2 linked regions of the Macaca mulatta genome follow. The protein of the gene in region 1 interacts with the protein of each later gene in a pairwise test. Links are inferred from orthologs where the notes say so. Each region holds a gene or a part of one and is shown on either strand. Other genes may lie near its edges. The genes, in order: DCX and ZBTB5.

Evidence for each region.
Region 2: the proteins of DCX (region 1) and ZBTB5 interact in binary tests that used the Homo sapiens proteins (3 or more experiments, as listed by UniProt). The two-hybrid records come from large-scale screens. The link is inferred for Macaca mulatta from reciprocal best matches to the Homo sapiens genes DCX and ZBTB5.

The regions. Positions count from the first base shown.
Region 1 is NC_133426.1:118,065,963-118,069,786, forward strand, and holds part of DCX (neuronal migration protein doublecortin), read right to left. Parts: intron 3,823-3,824; coding exon 3,700-3,822; coding exon of another isoform or gene 3,685-3,699; intron 1-3,684. UniProt on the Homo sapiens protein: Microtubule-associated protein required for initial steps of neuronal dispersion and cortex lamination during cerebral cortex development. May act by competing with the putative neuronal protein kinase DCLK1 in binding to a target protein.
Region 2 is NC_133420.1:62,172,933-62,176,492, reverse strand, and holds part of ZBTB5 (zinc finger and BTB domain-containing protein 5), read right to left. Parts: exon of another isoform or gene 1,919-3,560; 5' UTR 1,915-1,918; coding exon 1-1,914. UniProt on the Homo sapiens protein: May be involved in transcriptional regulation.

The sequences.
Region 1 (3,824 bases):
CACAAGTTCCACATCCAAGACTGATTAACACAGGATGGAAACAGGGTGGTACTACCATGTCCTAGAAACGAACAAAGCCTGTTTGCCCCACCTAACACTATTATCATTTGGTTAAGCGTATTTTAACCTGTATATGTCCCTGGCTAACAGCTAAAAAAATCTTGACATTTTATGAAACAATTGTTCCTTTTTAAATCTCAAATGTCAGTAAGGAGAAATTTATGCCAACTGAAAAGTATGCATTACCTATAGCTTATCATTCTGGTTATCTGCTTTTGTTTCTGTGGGAGCTATTTTACAACTCTGTAAATTGTAAATAACTGATAACAATCGAAAATTATCCTTATCTATAGAGATTCAAATTCTGAATTATCTAACGATGATATCACATCTCAGAGAAGGCAAAAATCTTGCTCAAACCACAAAGCCAGGAAGTGGCGTAGCTGGGACTTCTTAGAGAGTCATCTTCCTCTCCTCCTTCATATCTTACCCATCTCCACTTCCCAGCTTGGAATGGTCCTGAGTGAGGTGGAAGTGGAGAGGGGAAAATGGGTATAGCAAATCCAAACCTTAGCTAAGGTACTGTTTTGCCTGAGATCAACTTTGCCCTTACGGAATGTTCACTGAATGGATGCCTTGGACTAGGCTCTGAACAAACTCCCATGAAATGGGCTTGGTTATGTTACAACGCTTCAGGGTTGGAATCATGAGGAGGCTCTAGATACATTATCTGAGATGAGCGCAAACATTCTGGCAATTGCCATAAAGATTGTCTAGACTAGGGTTTGACTTCATTTATGTTCATGAACATCAGAATATAAATGAATATTCCAATTCTTTAAACTGAGAACACAATGTTAGATTGGTGGTAGGAAACAGAGGTTATTTGTAATTCTGATATCTGTCAAGCAAATTCCCCTCATACACCCAAATTAGTTACTCTGTTTATCATGTGGGTTGGAATAAATCCTCGTTTCTTTTTTTTTTCTTCCTTTCTTTTTTTTTTTTTTTTTTTAGTGAAGGAGTTATGAAAAAGCAAGAACAGATCTTGCCTGCCAAAGCCTGGGTTGGGGTCTATTATGTAATAACTCCCTTCAATTTGACAAATATTCATTGAATTCTAATGTATTCCTGTTATATCTCTGCTACCTTAGAGTCAGTGAGGTGCATATTTTGTAGAAGGGAAATTCTGTAGGTGGCATTCTGGAGATCAGTGATTTGACATATATTTAAACTGTGTAGTTATAGGTAGTTGTGTTCACCTGTGCTGGGTAACCAATTGGATGCAGTCTGCAAAGAGAATCTATTTACTTCAAGCTGACACCACCTGAGAATTTCTAACTGATGGGTTATATGGTGGTTTAAAAACAGATCTACAAATTCTTCAACACTCTTTCCTTTAATAAACAGAGTCTGGTTCCTCTCTCTTTGAATATAGGTTGGACTTAGTGACTGCTTCCAATGAATATGATAAAGGAGAAGTGACAGTGCTGGCTATGGAGACTAGATCACAAAAGGTAATACATCTTGTCTTTATTCGTTCTCTTGGATCACAAACTAAGGTGGGAGATCTTGCCAACAACCATATTGTAAGTGGATTCTACAGCCCCAGTTGAGCCTTCAGATGACTGCAGCTCCTACCATTATTTTAATGATATCCACATGAGAGACTCTGAGCAAGAACCACCTAGATAAAACACTCTAGAATTTCTTGCCCACCAGAACTGTGAGATAAAAAAAAATGGCTTTTTTAAGCCACTAAGTTTTGGGGTAATGAATTTGTTTCACAGCAAGATACAAGTAATACAGGTTAGAAATCCCAGAAATAGCTACTGCTGTTTCTAAGAAATGATTAGTTAAGCAATTATTGCCAGACTTTATTAATCTTGATCAAGTGTTTTAAAGTGTATTTTTTGCAAGTCTCTGCTTAAAAACTGTCCAACTTTATTGTCAGCCCAAGTGTTAAAACCTAGGTCTTTGTAGTTTTAACAATATGAATTTGCTTAGATATAGATTTATGTGCTCTTCTGTACATTTGAACAAGATAGCATCAAGGCACATGTATTTTTTATTTCTCCAGCAAACATTATCTAAATGCTTGATTGGTCTCTAGCACCATGTTGGGTAAAATAGGTACTGTTGTGCATCTATTTATTCACAAATATTACTGGAGCATCTACTAGGGGCCAGGCACTGTGCTCTGCACTGGTGATATGAAAATGAACCTACCACATTACCTTTGAGGGGCTCAGCATTTAATTGGGGAAGTAGACAGGTAAACACATACTTTACAACACAGTGTGGTGAATATTACCCCAAAGATATGAATGGCATGCTATGGTATTGCAGACACTGGAACAATTATCTCTATGTGAGGTCTTGAAGGATGAATAGGAGCTTTCAAGCAAAAAAGGCTGATGGGTTAGAGGAATGGCATTCCAGGTATGGGGGAATAGGGAGTGCAAAGACATGGAAGTACTAAAAGCCTGGGCTGCCTTTTCATACCTCAATTTCCTCAACCCAAGAATAAAAAAATGACTGGTGATATGCATGCTCCTGGCAGCGTGAGGCAGGCAGTACAGGCTATTCATCTTGGCACAAGCATTTCAAAGCCATCAGGCTGCTCATGATGCCCCAAACTGAAGGGGCTTTTTGTTTTCCCAATGCTCTCAGACTGCAAGAATTCTCATGATAAACTCTGAGCCTTGGGATGACAAATGTATGTCTTTTGGAACATATAATTTCCTTAGTGTGAAGAACCTCAAATCGTGCATAAACCTAAGCTTCTGAACTTGGACTTCTGAGGCCTTTTATTGTTTATATTTGTATAAAAGAATGGAAGACATTGCCTCTTAGGTCAATGTCACTCAAACTGTGGGTCCAAGACAAGATAGGGTTCACATCAGAATGCAAATCAACATACTGCTGTCTTCATCAATAAAATCAGGCTCTGAAAAAAAGTCAGCTGAGCTAAATGGTTTGCTTAATGGCATAGTTTATTTACATTTGACACAAGCTCCTAATCTTGTCACAGACTGACTGGTAACAAATAGTTCATGGGTTGGCAGTGATCAATAGAGCACATGTTTTAGATAACTCACTATCCACTATATAAAATCTTCTATGGCAAATCTCTCTGTTTTCTGGTCTATGCTTTAATTTCCTATTGTGAGGTTTATACAATTTATGTTGTCTCCCTATATATATGGCATATATATATAGTGTACTTGTTTCCCTTTTTGTTTTGGCTTCTAATTACTTCAGAGTCAAATTTGAAGCTCAAGTGAGTCAACCATGTTGACACTTTGGGGTATTGTTTTTTATATTCTTTTTCTTGATTCTGATTTTTAGTTTCAGGTTTATGGTTAACTTGATTATTCAATTGAATATGTTTTTGCCACATGATGTTGAAGATGATGAAAATGATGACAACCATGACAGTAAGCATTACAGCAAGCATAGACAATGGGCCAGGTTTCTGGTTTGCATCCATTTGAGTGGAGTAATGGTTGTAGCTGTGCCTCCATGACTCCAAACAAGTTTGACTGTTTTAGTCCCTGAATTGACAGAATAGGGTTTCATGGAGACACAGTAGTGCTCATGAGGAACTGATTCCTCTGCATGCAGACAATATTGTCCTCCATAAATGAAATCAGCGTGCACAGTTAGGAAAAGAGCACTCACCGTCTTGGTCGTTACCTGAGTCAGCTGGAGACTTGCTTCGGCGCATAGGACCAGGGCTCTTGGCTGAACTCTTCTGAGGTGTTGGGGATGCCTTTGGGCCAGCTGTGGCTGATGGGTTTCCCTTCATGACTCGGCATTCT
Region 2 (3,560 bases), on another chromosome or scaffold:
TTCACCTGTATGAACACGGATGTGTTTCTTGCAATCTGTCAAAGTCAGAAAAGTTTTGCAGCAGATTTTGCAGGCATACTTGCGAGCTCCCTCTACAACCAAAACATTGTGCTCTGATAAGGCCTTCTTGCACTTTGACAGAACATCTGCAGATGCTCTGGTCAATTGTGGAGGGCCAGGCTGGGAAGGATGGCCATTTTCAAATGAGGATGTAGCTCCATTCATCATTAGCTGGGAACTGGTAGAGTTTTCTGGGATCTGTGAGCTCCTGACAGAAGTTACAACTGGCATTTTGGGAGCTATGCGGCGATAGTATGGAAAGTTACTGGCTCCTCCCCTTGGGGAACCTATCATTACCCTGGAGAAGGAGGAGTGGAGGCCCAAACCAGACCTGGAAAAGTCCATCCCAAACTGTTCTCCTCCTTGGTAGCCTGAAGTCTGCACACACGGCAGGCCCATCACCTCCTGCATAGGTCTGACAAAGTGGGAGTCTGCAGGTTCACTAAATGGGTTCTCTACATGGGAGCCAGGGGCAGAGGAGGGCCCACCTGCAGGCCCAGCCTCTGGACTCAACAAATAGGGGGCCTCACTCTCCAGCCTGCAGTCACTAGTGGTGTTTGGGATATTATCATCATTGTTCTGATTTGCAGTAAAGTTATTTCCTCTGCTCTTGTTAAGAAAATTTGAAATACTAAAAGTGGACTTATGCTCTAGGTTATTTGTGACCTCCAAAATGTGGATATCACCTACCCTGTCTGTGCTAGACTGGGGGTCTGAAAAACTCCGATCACTGCTTTCAGGGCTGAGGTCTATCTTCTCGGCACTGACCACAACTCCTTCCACTTCTACAGACTCGCTGCCTTCTGCTTGTGAGGTCACATCGCTCACTTCATCCTGAGGCTCAGGCGAGCTCAGGGGCTCAGATTTAACCACCACTCTCATGTGCTCCTTCTCACCAAGGCCAACCTCAGGATTTTCACACTGAAAACTACTTTTCTCAGTTGCAGCTTCCTGATCAAAACTAGTCTCAACCTGAGTTGCCCGAGAGGCCATGGACAACTGTGCCATGTTGCCAGCACTGTTATCAGACTGGCTGGGCACCTGGGCATCTTCTTGAGTGCCAAAAGACTGATCAAACATGATCGCACTGTCTTCCTGGTTATCAGTCATTCCATCAGCTTTAGGATTATCCACAATTTTCAGAGAATCTGGTGAAAAGAACTCCTCCCGAGAATGAACCCCCGAAGGCCCATTCTCCGGTGTAACATCTGAAATGGCAGACTCATCCATGGAGGGTCGGAGGCGCTGCCTGGCCCGCTCTTCTGCAGACTGCTTGCGCTTATGAAGGCGTCTCATGGGGAAGGGCGTGCGCTGATCCAGGTTATTGCGCATGGAAGAGCTCATGGGGGCTGGCTGCTCCTCGCCATTCTGGCTAGAATTGAGGGCTGAGCTCACAATACTTAGTCCCAGCTGCTGTAGCATAAAGGAGCGCTGCATGCGGGCACTCTGCTCCTGAACGCGCTCACTGGGGGGAGACATGGGCAGCGTCCTTGTCGTTAAGTAATGTTTACATGCCTTAACAACAGAGTTCAAATGCAGGTGAGAGGCTGCCAATAAGACATCCATAACATTGCTCTCCCCCAGCATGAGGGTGGAGGTATACATCATGTCAATCAGTGCAGCAAAGGCCTCTGCTGTCACCACCTCGCTATCCAGCTGGATCATGTTCATGGTCTGATCTCCTTCTGCCACTGAGAACAGGGCTCGGAAATGCGTGCTGCATGCCGCCAGCACGGAGCGGTGGGCTTTAAAGTGTCTATTCCCTACCACAATGACACAATCACAGAGCTGGCCATGAAGTCTCTGGTAGTTCAGCTGCTGGAAGATTTGTTCAAAGTGACCAGGAAAATCCATGATTCTACAGGAAAACAAAGAAAATGTTAAGACCTAGAAAAGCTTCAAAGTCAGAACACAAAGGGTATGATGAAAAGAGTGGAATGGATGGCCAAGCTTGGACCTTTGAAGCCTGTGATCTCTCTGATAATGGGCACATACACTAAGAGCTTGTCATATAAGGAGCAAATGCCAATTCAGCCATCAGCCCAGGAGGCATGCACACATGTGGGCCCAGCTACTGACAGGCTTCCCTTTACTCTTCATATGAGCCATGTATAACACTAAGGGGCTAAGTTAGTAAAGACCAGTGTGTGAGTGATGGATATCTATCCCACAGAAGTTTGTTAGAGTTTTGCATTCCCTAACGATGAGGAATGAATGCAAAGAAATTCCAAAATCTTAGGAACCTTAAATAAGTGAAAAGGGCAAATTAATATTAGTGTGGAAGATTTCCAGTTATAGAGGGTAGCAGATTGCACACATGCATTTGCCCCCTGTTCATTCTTGAAACCCCACTAAAATGACACTAAGCCAGGCGTGGTGGGTCACACCTGTAATCTCAGCACTTTGGGAGGCTGAGACGGGCAGATCACCTGAGGTCAGGAGTCCAAGACGAGCCTGACCAACATAGTGAAACTCCGTCTCTACTAAAAATACAAAAAAATTAGCCAGGCATGGCAGTGTGTACTTGTAATCCCAGGTACTCGGGAGGCTGAGGCAGGAGAATTGCTTGAACCCGGAAGGCGGAGGTTGCAGTGAGCTGAGATCATGCCACTGCACTCCCAGCCTGGGCGACAGAGCCAGACTTCATCTCAAAGAAAGAAAGAAAAAAAAAAAACACTGAAGTTTTTTGGTTTCGTTGTTGTTTTAAAGGTATACACCCACAAGAAAAACGAGAATGAGAAGAGCTTCAATAGCATTTTGGAAGCTGGGGAGCAGGTAAATCAGTGCTAACTGACTCAGCACACCCCAAAAGTGAAAATCCTAAACTGGCAGTGGATAAAACAACCTAACATATAAATCTCATTCCCAAAGGCCAAGGAACTGGTTGCCCTTGCCAGGGGAAATGGAATGAAGGTGTGGCTAAGGCAGGAGGCCTGGCTGAAAATCTATCCAATAGAAAAAACAAAAACAAAACAACCCTAGGCCAGATGCGGTGGCTCATGCCTGTAATCCTATAGCACTTTTGGAGGCTGTGGTGGGAGGACTGCCTGAGCTTAGGAGTTTGAGACCAGCCTGGGCAAGAAGGTGAAACTCTGTCTCTACCAAAAATACAAAAAATTAGCTGCGCATGGTGGTGTGTGCCTCTGGTCCCAGCTACTCAAGAGGCTGAAGGGGGAGGATCACTTGAGCCTGGGAGGCAGAGGTTGCAGTGAGCAGAGATCGCACCGCTGCACTCCAACCTGGGTGAGAGTGAAACCTGTCTCAAAAAAAAATTAGCTGAGTATGGTGGTGCGCACCTGTGGTCCCAGCTACTTGGGAGGCTGAGGTGGGAGGATCACTTGAGCCTGGGAAGTCAAGGCTTCTGTGAACTGTGACTGGGCCACTGCACTCTAGCCTAAGCAACAGAGCAAGGCCCTGTCTCAGAAAATAAAAATAAGTGAATGAGTAAGAAAAAGAGAAGGAATTAATCAGGTCCAATATCTTGACTACAGAAAGAGAAA